Linked DNA regions of Nothobranchius furzeri. The protein of the gene in region 1 purifies or fractionates together with the protein of each later gene. This does not show direct contact. Links are inferred from orthologs where the notes say so. Each region holds a gene or a part of one and is shown in the gene's direction. Other genes may lie near its edges.

Region 1 (6,386 bases):
TTCAGAGGAATTTTTCTTTTTGTTTCCTTGTTGATCTTTTTAAATCTGACCCATGAATCATTCAGACATACCAAGGCTCCTAAACTAAAGCTAAACTCAAAGGATGAATCAGAGTTGTGTCAACACTGAGAATATTTTAACAACAACAAGGTGGTTCCCATGGACCTGTCAGCTGAGAACTATAGTCCTTTACAGTAGATGATCAACTAAAGGATGATGCCTCTCAACTTAGGTTTCAGTTCCGTCTTCAAAAAATGTGAATTTTAGATTCTGTTCATGTGTTATAGGCCTGATTTTTTTTATTTTATCCTCCACTTTGTCTACTGAGCACACACTCCTCAAACAGCTCTTTCCCCCACTATAACAGTATTTTAAACCTTTAAAAAGGGATAACCTGACACTCTTATTTCCATTCCTTCACAGCGGATCTCTGTTTCATGCACAGATTCAAATATTAGTCATCATCTAACATATTTGAATGTCCCATGGCTGCATCGCATAGAAAAATTTTGCTTTAAGAACCAAGAACTGTGACCTAAAAGTCTCATCCAGCAGCAGAAAGGGGGAATTTTTCCTTCCCGAGAAAATCAATCATCTCAAAGGTATTCCTAATTACTTGAGTCGTTCTCGGAGTCGTCCACTTGATAAAAGAATTACTATGAAGAGGTTTGCACTCTGATTAGTTCAGCCACTGAATGAATAATTGAATCTTCCGAGGAGGACGGTGGAGCTCTGTTTTCATATTTGAAAAATGTCTGCTGAGTAAAAGAAGACAATGGGCTTCGAGAGCTCAAACGCCAGCTTAATGTCTCTATTCTTGAAAGTCGTCACCTTTTCCACTTGTTGGTGTTTTCAGGGTCCTAGAAAATGGGCCAGTCATAGGGGTCCTCACAATCTGAGATAAAATGACCAATAATGGAGACATCATCACATTAAAATATTTCCTTATTTACGTATGAGACGCATAAAGTGTCCCACGTCTTACCTGACAGAATGAATGATTCATCCTAAATATGAGTCAGGGTTCAAGGTGTGTTGTTTGAGTGAATCCATTTGCTTCTGTCCACTGTGCTTTCATAATATTTGCATGACCTCAATCACACAAAGCAAGATTAGCCTGCAGGGTCAAAGTTCTTATTGAATAATCTGCTTCTGTTTTACGTCCCTTTATCCCAGCTTTGATCTTTTTTCATTATTATTATTATTTATTTTTCCGGGCCTTTTTTACTACCTCGTCCCTCTCCTTGAGTAATGAAATGCATCGCTGTTGAAATTATTTTCTTGCGAAACATTACCGCAGTGTTATAAATCTAAGCACGACTAAAGTCAGTCAAAGCTCACAAGCATTACAGAGGGGATAAAAACAATTTCCCTTTGTTTACACGCTTTCCCTTTTTCTTCTATTCTTTTACGTTTGCACCATTTGCAGCTGAGATATCTCTGGGTCCCAAGGGCAGGCGCATTCCTTTACACAAGAGTTGTGCAATCCCCCCCCCCCCCCCACCCCCACCCCCCCAACCTACACCTCCTCCCATCAGACTCCCTAAATGCCCAGAGCGCTCAGATCCAAGCTGTCTAAACTGTCTGTGCAGTGGCCTGTGGTGGACTGCCCAGCCAGACCCGTAAACAAATGCTAAGCCTTGATAATGCAGGAATAAAACACAAACAACTTCACAATTGTGCAGAAATGTGTGACTATATATAGATTTTTTCAGTAACCTGTAACACCTGAGACAAATTATGTATGACAAACTAATTTACAAAGGGAACATAGCCGTAGTTTTATATGATCTGTCCTTCATGTTTGTGCACTAAATCTTTCCATATAGTGCAGCATAATAGTAAAACTACAATAGCTAAGTAATTTTTCATTACCAAAATTCATATGAAATATAAAACTTTTTCAGGAATTTTTTGGCTTTTTTTTTGCCTTTTTTGACAAAAGTTTTGACTATTTATGACATTTAATCAGCTGCAATCTGTTCTTGCAATTCTTTCCATGGAAATTGCATTTCTTGCTGAAAAATATTATCATAAAAATAATGCATACATCTTAGGTTTCACAACTGAGATTGTTTTATAAAACACTTATGTTTAAATTAACTAAACGCTAACTAGTATGCTTGAATAGAATTGTGGTGGGTTGCATGAAAGCCTCTGAAATAGTTGAAATTTATTTTATTTTATTTTATTTTTTTACTAGGAACTAAATGATTGAATATCACGAACCTGTAACGCTCAAAAAATTATGTGTTAAACTGGCTTGACATATATGTTAAACTGGCTTGACATACATTAATTTGTGAAGGTTTTTCTCATGTGATCCAAAAACGCAACGAAACTCGATACGTCAATCGGGACCGCTGGTTGTTGTAGTTTCTCGTGGATTACATTGACTTGGCAGAAAAGCAGCGATGACTACGTTTCCCAGAATGCAACATAACTCGGCGTAGTTTTGCACATCCTGTTAGCTTGAGAGGATAGCGGACGAACGGGCGGAAAAAAGAGATACCGATGTTTTAATATAAAAGTGGTGCATTATTGCTCATGAACGTAATATTCTGGAGTGCCCAAGAAGCATATTAGGAAGACGAAAATGGTAAAGTTATTCAATTATTCAAGTTAATCTTTTTTTTTATTAGCCGTCAGGTTATGTTAGCGTTTAGAACTCGACAGATAAGCACTCCATTCAGTCTAGAAAACTATACTGGTGGTTAAATTGAGGGTTTAACCACAGAAAACCTCCACTTTAGCCTATGTAGATAGCATGGTGAAATTCAAGAATGTCGAAGTGTACGCATTATGTTAAAAGCTAGGTGTGGTTTAATAGTGCTACCTTTTACACCAGCCAAGCTAACGGTCAGTAATAGCTTCAGTTACTTTCACATCTCAGTAAGCTGGAGTTCCATAGCTGCCAATCTATGGTACATATTATTCCAGTGTGTTAATCATTTGTGTGGGTGGGTTTTGTTGCAGATTATTTTGTTTGATCTAATCCGTTTTCTATCCCAAAGATCCGCTTTATCCTCATCCAGAACCGAGCAGGGAAGACACGATTGGCTAAATGGTACATGCAGTTCGATGATGACGAAAAGCAGAAACTGATCGAAGAAGTGCATGCTGTGGTTACAGTCAGGGATGCCAAGCACACCAACTTTGTGGAGGTATGGGATTGTATAAATGCTTTAATGTGTGGCTGTTTTTGCAGACTGCATAGACATTAAAAAGTTAAGATTTCTAATTTTAAGTATAGCTCAATACTCTTGAAAGAGAGGCTGAAATGCAATTGGATTGTAATGTTTCATATATGGATGTTGATCAATATCTGCAGGAAAATAACATTCAAAAGAACATATTTTCTATTTATTGAACTTGGTCTGTATGTGAAGATAACGCCTTAAATACACCCTTGGGTGACTTATCATTTTTAACAAATACAGTATAATAGAAGAGGTTCCCACCTGTTTATTTTTTGCTTGTAGTAGACTTAAATATAATTATTGGTATACAAAGCCTTGAGTCTCTCAGCTCTGCTGAAACTTCTGTTACACAAATCTAAATTTCTAATTGGATTTCACCATTTTGTCCTCACAGTTCAGGAACTTCAAGATCATTTACCGACGTTATGCAGGCCTGTACTTCTGTATTTGTGTGGATGTGACTGATAACAACCTGGCATACCTCGAGGCGATCCACAACTTTGTTGAGGTAAACAATGAACACACACAAACATCCATCCATCATTTATTTATGAAGCACATTTAAAAACACAGCATTTCAGCTGTCCAGAGTGCTGTACAGGAGGTCCAAAGGCCAAAAAACAGTGGTGGGCTACTCTACAAAATAGATGAGAGAGGAGGGAAAGTATAACAAGTTGGAAGTAAAAAGAGCCCAAACTGTACAAATTGTAGAAAAAGAAAACAAGAACCTAGCAGTAGCTAATACACTTAAAATGAAATCAGTGGACATATGAACAAAACAATAACCTTATTTCGAGATAAAACACACACATGACCTGTGCTTGTCATGGTCTGGTGGGGTTTAGGAGTGTTTCTTTGTGGCTGTGATTTGTTACCTTGCAGTTCTTGAATGCCAAACTGGCTGCATTTTTGTGTGGATTAAAAACTAACATATAGTGGTTAAAAATGATCGTCATTCAGTTATGAAGGCATGGAAAGCATTCATAATAAATGTGTGATTTGGCAATTAAATGTTCACCTTATATAACATCTGTCTGGTGCAGAATGTGTCAGGAGAAAATAATTGAATTTATTTAAAATTATTTAACCTCTATTTCAGCACCGGTTTGAAACACTTAAGCATCAAATACAATTAAAGTTTTTATTTTTATATTTTGATGATTGAATGTTTTGGCTTCGAGTCTGAAACAGAAATGAGGTAAAATTTCACTATTCTGTTTTAGCAGCAGTGTTTTCAGTCTGATCTTTGTGCTTTTACAATAATAATTTTGCACAAGTGAAGCTGACGGTATCCACCTAAACTACTTTTGAAGCCTTTCTCTGAAATGGACCACCTCAGGGATTATTGAGCGGTTTATTTTTTGTTTTTGCATAGAACTGTTAAAAAACTAGGACAAAATGGTTAAATTTGTTGTTATGCTGCAGCCTTTCTGCCATTTCTCACACAATGGAAAGCAAATGGGCAGCTGTGGAAGCCAGAATAAAGTAGAAGAAAATCAATAGTAGACAATAGCTGTCCTTGTTACCGTTAGCCAACAGCTAAACCAAATCCTGAACAACAGGTTTAAAATGTTGTTTTATTTAAAGTGAATTTGGTATTTTCTGTTCTGCAGTCGCATTTCACTCGTAGGAATTGTCGGTAATTGTCGTACACACTTTGGTTGTGTAGCTTAAAATGTACATTTTTCTGTTTCTCTTTGCTGGAAGGTGCTGAATGAATATTTTCACAATGTGTGCGAACTGGATCTTGTGTTCAACTTCTACAAGGTGAGAACACACAGAGGGATTATTTTTCAGATTTGACACAATCTCTGATAGAAAGACATTACATGTATTTTTAATTGTATTATTTTGATGACAAAGAGGGGGAGTTGGGTCATGTTCGCATGCAGTTGATGGTATTTGTGCTCAGATCAGTATTTGTCCTCTCATCTGTTTTGTGCGTCTGTCTCAAGGTGTACACGGTGGTGGACGAGATGTTCCTGGCAGGAGAGATCAGGGAGACCAGTCAGACCAAGGTTCTCAAGCAGCTCCTCATGCTCCAGTCTCTTGAGTGAAAATGTGTCCTTCCTGTGCTTTTTATCTTCTGCCCAACCCGACCTTCACCATGTCCCTATCACTCTGGAAGAACCACACCATTCTCCATGCCCCTGCAGAGCCAGCTCTCATCTTCAAGACAAGGAGGGAGGGGGTTGTTTTGAATAAAAATACACAATATTGTTTACGTATGGATATGAGTTCAGCTGTTTGCCATAGCAGCCCATATGTTGCATTATTCTGATAAACTGCTATAGATGTCATCAACAAGCCTACAGTCTCAGTAGATTTTAACATTTCAAATAGTCCTGCCAATGTTATGAGCTTTGTAACTAACTGCAGAAAAGAGTTGTTTCATGTTTGCATTTATCCATGTTCACTGTGGAAATCAGTGTGAGACTGCTCTCTGTCCCAGTAACCTAAACATTTACTCAATGGCACTACTGTAACTAACAAGCACCATAAAAATAAACTGCAGATAGACCCGAGAACCCCCAACAGCTCCGTAGTTGTTTCTAGACGTCCAGTGTTGTGGGTTATCTCTGCTGAGTCCCAGCCCACCAGCGGACTACAAGTAGGAAGCTCTTCAGAGCCGTTGACCCAGCAGAGAAAGTTCATCCCAGAATGGAGCGTACTCGGGATGAGGAGCGTTTCAGTGGGGTGTTATGGTGACCGGTGACGAGAGAGAAAGTTATGTTGGATTTGTTCAGCTTTGCTTCCAATTACATCAAATGGTGCTTGTTCCCTCTTAAAACACTTAAATACAAAGAAAACCTGGACAGAGTCAGTTTTACATGAAGTGGAACTTTTGCTTTGCGTTGTGTTTGTATACACACACACACACACACACAAATATTTAGCATCTTATGTCCAGTACTGTGTAAAAAAAAAAAAAACAGCTCCTAATCATCTTGAGATTCATACATTCCTTTGATGTTTATTTGCCTAAAACCATAACATGGATGTATGGTGGATGGAAATCTGCTTTATTCATACAGGGGTTAAATGTTTTATCAACATCCCATGATCTAATTTTAACCATATCCAGTCAGATAATCTGAAACTACTTATTTCTTATGAAATAGTAATGACCTATATCCTGTTTCCCTTGTGAGTTAGCTGGTGGAACATGTGTTACAGTCTATTCAA
Region 2 (6,582 bases), on another chromosome or scaffold:
TTTTTTGATAAGCTGCTAAATTAAAAAATAATACTTTTGGGGCCACCAAATATTTTGGATCATGCAAAGACTCTATATTGTATTGTAGTAATTTTGTAATATTTGTAAGATGACATGGTGGGTGTGACTGAATACCATTGCTTGAATCTGTACATTGTTCCAATAAATTGTTTACATTATTATGAGCCTCAGGTTGTTTTATTTGAGAAACGATAGAGGCTTGTCTCAGAAATGTTTTATAGCAAAGAGATGATTTACAGAACCTAGAAAGACATTGATCTTATGAGATTTTAAAAGATTAACCAAGAGGTAGTAACCTACTGTTCCCATTCAAGGAAAGCCATTCGGTGATCCCAGCTCACCTTTGGGCAGGGCTTAATTCAGCAGACTGTCCTTCCTGCACAGTTGAGAGCACCGTTTTCAGTTCAAAAGATTGCTTCACTTGTGAGTTAAACTTAACACGGCTAAAAAAATATGAGACGTTTTAAAATTCATTCCTAGTTGCCTGGTAACTAGTTACGTGTGGTTGTGTTTCCTAAAACAAACCAGCCACAACATAAACACACATGTTGACAGTAACATGAAAGCTGTTCATAAAAAATGAACAATCTGTTTTGCCTTTAAATCTAATATTTTTCAGGAAGTTACACCTTAATTTCTAATGAAAGAGCAAGTCACCTCCAAATCAACTTTTTTTTCTGATAAACTATATAAATGCGTGTCTGATTGTGCTGCAGACATGTGTAGTCAATAGTTTTGCACTTTAGTGCATTTTAGTTAAAATTTTTATTGTCTGCCTAAAACTCAGTGTTGATCCGGTGTCGGTACAGGATCGGCTCGGGGTCCTTCGACTGCCGATGACGTCACATGACTGCAAATCTACTCGGCTTTCACACACACGTTTTGGAAAGACATCAGCAGTTTTGTTAATAAATTCTTGTTTGTTAACACCTAAATGTTTTCTTTATAATTGTAATTTGTTAATAAAACACCATATTATCTTTGTTTTGTAAAGAATGTGAAACTGCATAAAACCAACATCGGACTGACAAACAATAGAACAGTTCTTATATGTGAAGCCACATCTGTTTGTATTAACGTGGACTTCGTCTGTATATTTCCTTAGTTGTTATCTAAATACATTCTTTGACTCAAAATATTGCTTGGTGTCTTTCAATAAAGTTCTTATATTTTATTTTGCCCCATTTCATCAACATCAAGAGCTTTTGAGGGTCACCGTATATCGTTTGCTTATATTTTACATTTCCTTTAGAAATTCAAACATATTTTCTCCAAAAAGTGTTGATTTTTGGACTACAGGACTACAACCGCAAATTAGTTCTGACCACTCAAAATCATAACGTGATAACGTCACTTCTGTAAGCTTCATGTTCAGCCAATCAACTACTTTGACGTCATCGGCAGTCGAAGAACCCCGAGCCGATCCTGCACCCGAGCAGATCCTGCACCAACACCGTTGTCAGGTAAAAACTGCACTGCGTTTGAATTTAAATCTGCCATCGCTATTGGCTAAGAGGTACCCTAGAACGTTGACTGGTACCATATGATGTCACAATGTCATTGTGAGCCTGTGTGTGTATTTGTTAGTGGCTCCGCCCTCTCGGTCTACTAGGCAACAGCATTTTTTCCATTTTTGAAATATGAAGTGGGAGCAGAGTAATACTCTGGTAGGGGGTGACATTCAAAAACTGCAAAAACGTGCTTTGGTTTGTGGTTTTAAATCGAATACTAGCATTTATTTATAAAGGATTATGTGCTATAAGAATAAATACACATCTGGGCATCTTTTCTAAAAAAGTTATTTAAAAACTTTATATTGATCCTCAGTGAATTGAAAAGAGCTGCTTCTGCATTTGCTTGCGAGTCATAACATGTGTTGGACACTATGAATTCTTAAAGAATGAAGGAAATGCAACAAATGCGTAGGTCATGAGTTTTTAGTATAAAATAAGGACTTGTTCGCGTTAACAAACTTAATGGAAAATGGGTAGCAAATTATTACGCATCTCTCTAAACTCTACTCACTCTAGGGTGGAAACCAGGATAAGCAGGCACATTTTGAATGGATTAAGTCAAAACAATCAACATAAACTGTGCTTGACAAAATAACAGCAGACGAGCCCCAAACACCAATACCTAATTCAGTAGTCAGTGAGGAGGGGTGCTCAGCCTGTGGGTAAAAGACTACGTTTTAAACTAAAGAGAACACTTGATTTGGAGGAGAAACAAATGAGCTGATACTTTGTTAAACTGGAGAAATAAGAAAGTAAGAACATATACAACCCGATTGGTCAAAAAAAAAAAACATTGCAATTAGAAAAAAATCCAATATCAAGGAGTCACAAAGGGTTTTCTGCAGAGGTGAAAAAACAGTTGGAATATGCCCACCCAAGATAGGAATCAGAATATTTTTAAAACTGTTTCATCCATTTTCCCCAACATTATACATTGCTCATTTATCTTTACTCTGGTTTAGATTTATTTAACTTCCTTTATGCAAATGTGATTAGCTTTTCCTCATTGTCGTGTTTAGGATGGAGGAATTTCCAGGGAGCACTTGAAGGCGGCATATCGACCGGGCGGCTAGCAGCTAGCCCGGTGCTCGCCTCGCCCTCGGCCGTTAGCAGCGCTGTTTCCTCCCTACGTCTCGGGAAGAAACCGCGGGGGGAAAGGCGCAGTGCAGCCTAGTGGAGGTGGAGTCTGTCGGTGGGGAGGGAGAAGAAAGGGGAGAGGAGGAAAACGGCAAGAAGGCAGATATATAACAGAAAAGGGGGGAGGACGGTGGATGATTTACGCTTTAAGAATAGCATCACAGCCAATTAAAAAGTTGCTCAGAAGAGGATTTGAACAAGATGATAGCGCCTTACTTCCTAGAAAATTTCTGGGTAGGTGGTGTCTTTTCAATACTGTTTACGCCGGTGCTGCTCCCTTTCTAACATGGTCATGTCAGCAAGGAACCGAGTGCTATTCACGTCGCAGGGCCAGTCCAATTGTTTCCTGGCTTGCTCCGGCAGAGCTGACACTGCCCGGTACAGTCAGACCAACCGACGGGCTACCTCCGGGACCGTCGTTAATTTATCTTCGGACGATAATTTCGCTACCCCGGGGTTTGGGGCCTCTGAACCTATCTAACTTGAGAGCTAAAACAGTCCAGCCGTTTGCTCGGTAATTTGCTGCGCTTGGATTACTTGGAATGTTTACGGTCAATTCCACGAATACTATTGGACGTTTCGACTGTCAATCATGTGTTTTCCTGTTACACGTCATTTTCTTCCGTAAATACATTTGCGCGAGAGACCAGATGTTGTAAGAAGTTCTTAAAAAAGGGGAGACAGATCCCAGCTACTGATTCATGTAATACACATCTGGTGCTAGTGCGCATGCGTTAACCTTACAGCGTCCATAAGCAGATAAGGTCAAGTTTTTGGCGATGAAATCAAACGCTGCTATGGTTGAAAAATAAACTAGGTAAACGAATGCTTTCATGGTTTTTCCACCTTTGTTTAGCTTTATGTTTAATAAAGTGACTTATGACAACATTTTATATTCTCTGACATATTGATCCTTATAAACTGTCTTAGAATCTCATAAATTCGTAGTGTATCCTGTTATGAACAATAGCGAACAGGCTGGCTTCAGGATTTCATTATATATAACTGTGTTATTAGAAGATTTTGTTGCATTTCAAGCTGAACACATTTAGTTCTTCGATATTAAAACTGAATCCTAGCACCGGTGGTATTTATTGCTGCAGGTTTGTCAATCATCAACTTAGCAGGAAATAACCTTTTTTATTTTGACTCATTTCTATAGTGGTTTAATACAGCTATAATATTTCTGAAGCTTTTTCCTCTCAGCTTCAGTTACTTGATGAGAATGAAGTCTGAAGCCAGTCTACTGGTCTCATATAAAGAACATACATTTCAATGAATACTTAGCCGTGCATTTTAAATAATTACATAGCATTTTGTTCCTGAAGGAAGCTTTAAAAGGACCATAAATGAAAATAAGTCCTTGTGATCCTTCAATCTGCTCTTTGTGCCTTGCATTGAGCCACAAGAGAATCCAGTGATGGCTGTGATCAGCTGTGTTTAACATGCAAAGCACACACATACTTGGCATTAGGGGATGCATCCATTTCCCTTTTGACTTGACTACAAATCTTCACCTCAGGCAGGCATATAGCTCTGTTACACACTGAACATGTCAAATTTCTGCAGACTTTTATTTATTTATTTATTTTTACCTGTTTTCATTTGCAAAGCAGACAGGAACACATAACTTTTCTCCATCGTGTGAGAGTTTTGTTGGGGAGCCAAATGATTTTCTTAGCTTTTATTTTTCCTCATTTGCAGTCTTAGCTCAGCTCTTTGTAGAAAATGTCTTCCCTCAGCTGAAAAAATAAGATATTTTAGGAATCAGGAACCAGAAGGCAACATTGTCTTTTTGACAGAGCTGCAGCTCTTGACTGGTGCCAGATTCTCTTGTAGTCTCATTTCCCCCTTTTTTCAGTTTGCAGTCAGTAGCATAACCTCAGTATGTGTGGTGTGTGCTGAAAGAGCTCAGTGTGTGGTTTTTTCATGAAACTGTGGAGTTATGATTCATGTACAGTCTGGTGGTCTTTAACATGCCTTGGGAAAGTAAGATGGAAGTGTGATAACCAGTGTTGACACAAGCAACAGGAATGGCTGTTTTCTTCTCTCCCGTGTGTGTGTGTGTGTGTGTGTGTGTGTGTGTGTGTGTGTGTGTGTGTGTGTGTGTGTGTGTGTGTGTGTGTTGTCGTCCAATGGTTTTACATAAAAGTCACTGTAAGTCAGACTGGAAGCTATGATCAGCCATGAGGAGAGTCAGAAAATACTCTGGTTGTGCGGTTGTGCTTGAAGCAGAAACTTTTCTTGTGCTTGTCAATATTTGAAATTACGACTGACCTTTGACCTTCACAAACACATTGAAAAACCTGATTTAAATCAAATGAATTCAAAAGTGTGATGAGCCATGCTTCTCTTGGGCTTTGCTTTCTTAATAACCTACTGAGCAGCAGGAAATTTGGACAGTCTAGCGTTTATGTTGACTCCTGCTCAAACGTATGCCCTGTCGCCTAGCGACCATGATGGTGCTAAACAGGTTAAAACTAAACCTAACAGCGATACATGAAGATATTCGACATTCGCTATACAAGCTCATTTATGAGTTTTTCTCTTAAAAATATATTTAAAGACCAGCTATGCAAATGGAAAAATCCCAATGACACAACTCTCTCCCCCCCCCCCCCCCCACCAGCAGATATTAACTAGCCTATATTTAAACTATAAAATTCTCCAGGTTTGTCAACTGTTATTGTAAGGAACAATATCTGCTGTTCAGCCCACAGTGAAGCCTGGCTGGGATAGGGTGGGCCAGTAACAATACATCCTACCCAACTTGAAATTCAGTGAAAATAAGGGTTGTATTTTGAGTATCCTTTGAATTTGGACAGCCGTGTCGCTTCGTTGTGACATAATCAGCTTTAAAATGCAGCCTTTGAAGGACCCAGCCCCTGATTTTAGATCATATTACCTATGTCTGTTTTAGACGCATCCATGGTATTTAGAGGAAACATTCCCGTTTACTTCAGTCGCACAAAAGTGAAGCCAAAATGTCTCCTTTGTTTAGTATTTGTATCCAGTTGCTGAAACACCCACACCATTTCCTTTAATCATGGTGTTATTTGTTTTTCTTTCCAGTATCAAATGACTTATTATAATTAAAAATATTAGAAACATGAATATTTTAGCATGCAGCATCAATGTGAATCAACAGGAGTTGAGCTCAAAACTTGTTCTGCAGCCAGCCACTAGGGGGGCTCTAAGTTTGTTCTGGCTTCAGCTGGTTTGATCTGGATGTCTACTTTCTATCTATGCTAATGCTTTTGATAGCTTGAAATGTCTCTGAGACCTTTAATACCACATAACTTAGAGCCTAAACCTGTTCCTGGTAACCATATTCATGTTAATTCACTTTCTACAAGTGGAGAATTTTAATATGTTAGGGTCTTGTTCACGAGTGAGGGAAAGATGGAGGACGAAATCGATAGATGGACTGGTGCTGCGTCTGCAGTGATGCAGGCGTCGTACCGGTCTCTAGTGATGAAGAGAGAGCTGAGCCAGAAGGTGAATTTACTGGTCGATCTACATTCCTACCCTCACCTATGGTCACGAGCTTTGGGTAGTGACCGAAAGAACGAGATTACGGATACAAGCGGCTGAAATGGGTTTTCTCCGCTGGGTGTCTGGGCTCTCCCTTTGAGATAAGGTGAGAAGCTCGGTCATCCAGGAGGGGCTTGGAGTAGATCTGCTGTTCCTCCACATCAAGAGGAGCCACTTGAGTTGGCTTAGGCATCTGGTCAGGACGCCTCCCTGGTGAGGTTTCCCGGTCACATCCAACCGGGAGGAGACCTAAAGGAAGACCCAGTACACGCTGGAGGGACTATGTCTCTCAGCTGGCCAGGGAACGCCTTAGGATTCCCCCGGAGGAGCTGGCCCAAGTGGCTGAGGAAAGGGAAATCTGGGCCTCTTGGCTTAG
Region 3 (6,414 bases), on another chromosome or scaffold:
GAACGCTGCTCGGCCCTCAGGCCCACACTCAGCACCGGTAGCCCGGCTGGTACGCAGCCTCTGGCCCAAAGCTTTGATCCCAGTGGCAGGATCACTAAAAGTTTTTACAAGCAATAACAATGAAATGACTTCCTGGATTTCTTTTTTCTTTGTCTTGTTTTAAGCTGTTAACGTTGTCCATTTGTGTGTTTTTCTTTTTGCCTGGTGACCGTTGATGTAAATCAGGAGGATAGTAAAGTTCAGAAAAGTAGGGAGACTTTGTTTGTAGTGCTTAATTTATTTTCATACACTTGACGAAAGTCGGTAACTAAGAATCAAAACTTGTGGTTTTCATATCGGTTTAAAATCAGAGTTTGATCTCGTCTCGAGTCAGATTCGTGTTTACGCAGCAGCACATTAATAATAGTCTTATATCATGCTTATAACTCACACAGACAGGGTTACGTCAAGCCCGCTGTGGGGAAAACGCATCTGATGCTACGTTTTAGCAAATATTTTGCCAGTGTTGAGGAAGAAATGGCAAAAACTGGTCAAAACCTGCTTTTTAAACAGTGACCTTTGAAATACAGCCTGAACCTCTCTTCCTGGGTCTGAATGTCTTCCTGTGGTGTTTTACCCACGGCAGAATTTTACTAAATGTTTGCTCGTTTTCCACAGAATCAGAAGAAGAGCTTATAAAGTGTAAAAATAAGTCAAGTCTTTTTGAATTCTTAGACATTTATGCCTTAAATGATAAATGAACCCTGCTTGCTAACAAACAAAAACCTTGTTTCTATGGTTGATCTGTGAAGCTTCTGATGGGCTTCTGGAGGAACTACCGTAATTTCCGGACTATAGAGTGCACTTCAATATAAGCCGCACCAACAAAAAAAAAAAAAAAAAAAGCTTTTCTACACACACACACGCCGCACTCAAATACAAGCCGCGGCGCAGCAGCCACATGCAGGTCTCCGGCGCATAGCGCATGTACGGCCATTACATAAGATAATTAGACAGAAAGACGCCACACGGAGTTTTTTCGTTGTTGTTTTAATTCAACAAAACACATTTTAAACACGGGTGAATGTGCCTGCAAGTTTAGAAATGAAAACAGCACTGATAGCATTCATATTTCTGGATGGTTATAAGATAAAAACAGCACTGACACGTTATTACCGGTAATTTGCATGTTCAGAAGGAAAGAACAGCGCTGACACAGCATTAATAAGCCCTGGATGATTAGAAAATAAAAACTGCACACAAAACATGCCTGTTAGTAAATAAAACACACTTGCCTACCAGAAAAAGTCATTAGCTCTCATCTTCCTCTTGCGCACTAAAGCCATTAAAGTCCTCTTCTTCAGTGTCGGAGATGAACAGCCTCAGAAGAGCTTCGTCACAGACCTTTTCTGTGGCGATGTCAGTGTCTCTGTCCGTGTTGCTGTCATCATCCCCGGGTGAAGCCGGCTTGAATGAGTTCTTCCCGCTGCCGTCTCCAGCGCCGAGCCATGGATTCATTCATGCCAAGCTTACGTGCGGCAGCGCTGTTTCCCTCCTTTACTGCCAGATCGATGGCCTTCAACTTAAATGCGGCATCATATGAACTCATACGTGTAGTTACCATGATGAGGGGGTATGGATTTGAAAAAGATTCTTCGTCGTGCCGGCTGCTTGCATGTGCTAATTTAAAATGAGCACTTTCTTCGATTTCCACTTTTGACTTCCACCTGTTTCACTTTCTGCGAAAGCGCCCCCTGGCAGGTGAAGGAAAATCTTCAGTAAAGCCGCACCTCATTATAAACCGCATGGTTCAAAGCGTGGGAAAAAAGGTAGCGGCTTATAGTCTGGAAAATACGGTACTTAATGCTTACAAAGAGCAGAGTTTTTACTCAATTCAATTCCTTCTATGTTTCTTTAAAACCAGTTGCAGACTGAAGGGAAGTAAAATTCCTTTGATGTTTTGAAAGCTAAACTTTTATTAATGGCATGTGTTGGGATCTACTGTAGGAGGAATCTTGGAACAAACTGATTTGGGAGCATCTGGTTTGGATAATTGACTTTAGAGAAGTTTTTTATTAATATACACAGTCTCTTTCAGGTGTTGAAACTTAAGGGATACGTTATGACCTTGTATCAATAAGCAGATACCCAACATGCTATCGGTGTGATCAGATCACAATGCTTTTCTTTCACAGCCAGGTGTCCTGTTTGATGCTCATGTGATGCAATTGTTTTGAAACTTGAAAAACCCTACAGAAAACTGAATACCCTTTAATAAACTCATTTAAACATGATACTTGTAGTTTTTTGTTTGTTTGTTTGTTTTTTATAAAAGATCTGGCAATTATTATTTAAGCTGAACCAACATTAAGCCAGTTTTAAAATAAAATGTCATCTGGACTTCATGTTAGTTTCACGTATAAAGTAATATCGAACATGAATCATATTAATACTGTTTAGTTGTTATTTCGTCTATAATTTGAATATTAATCCCAGGACAAACTCGTGTTTACAGCAGATTGACAGTTACGTCTACAACCTCCGGACACCGGGTGGCGCTGTTTGAAGCTGGCGGCGCGGCGTCAACCACCAAGCAGCTTCAGCACGGGCGTCCATTGAAAGTCGGAAGTTGTTTTTTGGTTTGTGAAACTTGACAAAATGGCAGAGGACAACAGTTATGAGTCGATGCTGTGTGTGAAGCCAGAGGTTCATGTTTACCGGATCCCGCCGCGGGCCTCCAACCGCGGATATCGGTAAGAAAGCTTCTTTCTGGCGAGTCGGAAAAAGTGTTTGTCAGCAGGCTAGTTTAACTGTCATGTTTCCATTATCGGACTAACAAGCTGTCAACCAAACTGGTCTGAAGACACTCGACAGCTACGGACTCTTTTTCTTAGTTCTCACTAAAGGTTCGTATATTGGGAAAGTTTAACAATATCAACTGGCAGCAGCGAGCTAATAGCTAGAAACACCACCATCAGTGTTTTTTGTTTACAAATGTTTTATTTGAGTTAAGAAGAAACATGTTCTTGTTTTAACGGATTGTTTTACATCATTCACTCTGAAACTGGTTATGAGAAAATCCAAATAAATCAAATTCCCTTTCAGTTTTCACTCTGTGTGTAAAATGGTAAACTTCGGTGGATTGATTTTGATCATTGTTTACATTTTAAAACACAAAAGTGTGTGTGTGTGTGTGTGTGTGTGTGTGTGTGTGTGTGTGTGTGTGTGTGTGATTTCAGGTTTTGTTTTGTATTCACATTCTAAACTAACCCCAATAATCTATATTGGTCAGATGGTACTTATACAACTTTTATTATCTTTAAAAACAAGCAACTGGGAGTTTCCCTGTTTGTCTTTTTTCGATCTTTTAGGCAGATTTTAATTTCACTTCCTCATTATGTTGGACAAGTAAAGCTGCTAAAACAAACGCAGAGACAGGAGCTCCTTTAAATGAGGATTTACATGAATGGTTCTCTAATCCGGTGGGTTTTTCCTGCTTCTTTCATCTAGAGCTGCTGACTGGAAACTGGATGAACCTGCGTGGAGCGGTAGGATGAAAATCACAGCCAAAGGAAAGATGGCTTTCATCAAGCTGGAGGACAAAAACACAGGTAAACCTTATCATGAGCCTCACAGCCAAATACCTTAGTTGTGCTGTGAAACAAGTCCTTTTTTGTATGAACTGGTTTCAACACAGCCTGAAACTCTTCTCAGTGATCATGGGTCAAAGGACAGCAGTTATGATCATTCTTTGTTTAGGGATGCACCGATCAGGTTTTTTGCTGCCGATACCGATATCAAAGAATGCTGATCACCGATACCGATCACGTGGATTGGCCAGAAATTTTCTACAACATTATAATGAGTGCTACAAACTACATAATCTGGGAATAAAAGAAATGTAACCTAATCTAAAATGGTCTGTATTAAAGTTGTCACGGTGTGAAAATTTAACCTCACGGTCATTGTGACCAAAATTACCACGGTTTTCGGTATTATCGCGGTATTTTTTTTAACCGTGCTACATTTTCACACAATTAAATAAACCCTGTATGTCAGGAAATATTGTCATCAGTTTGTGTCTAAATTTGCCTAAAATGTGTTATTTTCTAATTATGTTGTTTATTTGTTTACATTTTTCCCTTTAGTCTTTAAAATACCAATATTTGCCCATAACTTCTTATTTTATGTCTGTTTGATGTCATCATTTTAAAAATATTAGATCAGATGATACTCAGTACTCAAGTAGCCTTCTAATCAGATACTTTTTTTTACCCTTAATTGAGTAATAAAGCCTATATCAGGAAAATATCGTCCTCGGTTTGTGTCCTTCCTGTGAGCTTTGCAGGCAGTAATCATTGTTAAATTCATAATTATTCTCGGAGAGAGACCAACTCTTATCTGCCCCTGGGAGCCCCATAATGCATAGCGTCATTTCAACATGGGGGTAGGGATGCACCGATGGATCGGCATTTGATCGTAATCGGCCGATAGCGCCCCTATCGGTTTTGATCGGAATTTTTAAAATAGATCAGAGCAAACCGATCAGGTAGGGTTGTCACGGTAACCAGTGTAGCGCTAAACCCCGGTAAAAGAAAAAAAGAAAAAAAGTTGACAATAATAACCGTCTTGTTTTTAAAAAAATATATTATCTTGGTGGGTTTACCGTGGCTGCGGTGTAGGCGCGGTGACCCTTACCAGCCACCGTATCATCGGCTGAAGTTGCCGGCGGCACATGCACGCTTTGTTTACAACAAAACTTTCTTGAAGCTAAAGCTGAAATAATGGTCAAAGGAGGAGACGGCAGCGCTCAGGAGGACATTTATTATCCCTCAAAGAAGACAAAGTCGGAAGTACAGGCATCTTTTAGATATTTGAAGAATGCCGAGGGAGTTTATGGAAGACGGACGGCTATCCTGTTTGCAGCACGAGCAGAAAAAGTGTCTGTGAAAGGCAGCAACGCTTCAAATCTCATGACACATCTGCGTGACCATCACCCACAACTCTACAGTCAACGCAAGGCAAGTTAACGTTAGCGTTTTAGCTAAAATGCGTGATCCGAGGAATTGGGTTGAGGGAGAAGGCAACGAGTCGCTATATAAAGCAGCCGCAGCGCCGCCACCTGCATATAAACCGTGTTGCGGACACCCCCATGTTGAAATGACTCTATGCATTACGGGGCTCCCAGGGGCAGATAAGAGTTGGTCTCTCTCCGAGAATAATTATGAATTTAACAATGATTACTGCCTGATGACATTTTCCCACATCTGCAAAGCTGACTGGAAGGACACAAACCGAGGACAATATTTTCCTGATATACGGATTACTCAAGTAAGGGTAAAAAAGTATCTGATTAGAAGGCTACTTGAGTACTGAGTATCATCTGATCTAATATTTTTAAAATGATGACATCAAACAGACATAAAATAAGAAGTTATGGGCAAATATTGCTATTTTAAAGACTAAAGGGGGAAAATGTAAACAAATAAACAACTTAATTACAAAATAACACATTTTAGGCAAAATTTACACACAAACTGAGGACAATATTTTCCTGACATACAGGGTTTATTTAATTGTGTGAAAATGTAGCATGTTTAAAAAAAATACCGCGATAATACCGAAAACCGTGGTCATTTTGGTCACAATAACCGCGAGGTTAAATTTTCACACCGTGACAACCCTAACCCCCAAATTCCACTACCTCCGCTCCGCTCCGCTCCGACACGAACGCCGGAGCAAAATCGGTCCCGTTGTAGTCAATCAGAGCAATTCCACTACTGCGGCCGTGCTCCGGCAGTGCGGCGCCATGCGCCGCCCTCTGTTCCGGCGTCCGGCAAAAATAGAATCGATCCTATTTTCGCCGGACGCCGGAGCACCTCCGCAGTAAATGGACAGAAATCACAACGGCCCAACAGGAAAAGGAGCGAGCACAATTTCCGTTTTTCACAATAAATCGATAAACAAAAGGCGTTTTTTGTTTCATATGCACAGGTTTAACAACTTTTAACAACTATCAATGGCGGCTGAAGTTTAAATGCACAAAAGTAAGCCATAAATACAGTTTCTACGATCAAAGTAGTCACACTTTGTTGATCCAAACACTGCTCATCTCTCAACACAAATGATGGGCAGATTAAACAGCTCATGCCGATGTTTCTCCCACACAACGGGTGTTTGGATCTAACTTCCGCGTTTATTGCTCGGACTGTATCGCAAGATCTCGAAAATCCCGCGCATGCTTGTTTGCCCCCCTCAGGTCTCCGCACCGGAGCGGAGCCGTTGTAGAGCGGGTACCAGTAAAAATTGAGTTCGGAAGCGAGTGGCTGCGGAAGGCGGGGGCGGACCGGAGCGGAGGTAGTGGAATTTGGGGGTCATACAGACCATTTTAGATTAGGTTACATTTCCTTTATTCCCAGATTATGTAGTTTGTAG

Evidence for each region. The genes of interacting proteins can lie anywhere in the genome.
Region 2: the proteins of ap2s1 (region 1) and fcho2 purify together in Homo sapiens (co-immunoprecipitation; 3 studies listed by BioGRID and IntAct, counting the BioPlex papers as one, with this or other methods). This does not show direct contact. The link is inferred for Nothobranchius furzeri from reciprocal best matches to the Homo sapiens genes AP2S1 and FCHO2.
Region 3: the proteins of ap2s1 (region 1) and necap2 purify together in Homo sapiens (affinity purification with mass spectrometry; 3 studies listed by BioGRID and IntAct, counting the BioPlex papers as one, with this or other methods). This does not show direct contact. The link is inferred for Nothobranchius furzeri from reciprocal best matches to the Homo sapiens genes AP2S1 and NECAP2.

The regions. Positions count from the first base shown.
Region 1 is NC_091753.1:41,292,518-41,298,903, forward strand, and holds ap2s1 (AP-2 complex subunit sigma), read left to right. Parts: upstream 1-2,446; 5' UTR 2,447-2,596; coding exon 2,597-2,599; intron 2,600-3,014; coding exon 3,015-3,164; intron 3,165-3,594; coding exon 3,595-3,708; intron 3,709-4,907; coding exon 4,908-4,967; intron 4,968-5,155; coding exon 5,156-5,257; 3' UTR 5,258-5,728; downstream 5,729-6,386. UniProt on the Homo sapiens protein: Component of the adaptor protein complex 2 (AP-2). Adaptor protein complexes function in protein transport via transport vesicles in different membrane traffic pathways.
Region 2 is NC_091746.1:66,697,183-66,703,764, reverse strand, and holds the start of fcho2 (F-BAR domain only protein 2), read left to right. Parts: upstream 1-2,711; 5' UTR 2,712-2,873; coding exon 2,874-2,906; intron 2,907-6,582. UniProt on the Homo sapiens protein: Functions in an early step of clathrin-mediated endocytosis. Has both a membrane binding/bending activity and the ability to recruit proteins essential to the formation of functional clathrin-coated pits.
Region 3 is NC_091743.1:46,249,971-46,256,384, forward strand, and holds the start of necap2 (adaptin ear-binding coat-associated protein 2), read left to right. Parts: upstream 1-2,543; 5' UTR 2,544-2,637; coding exon 2,638-2,732; intron 2,733-3,489; coding exon 3,490-3,590; intron 3,591-6,414. UniProt on the Homo sapiens protein: Involved in endocytosis.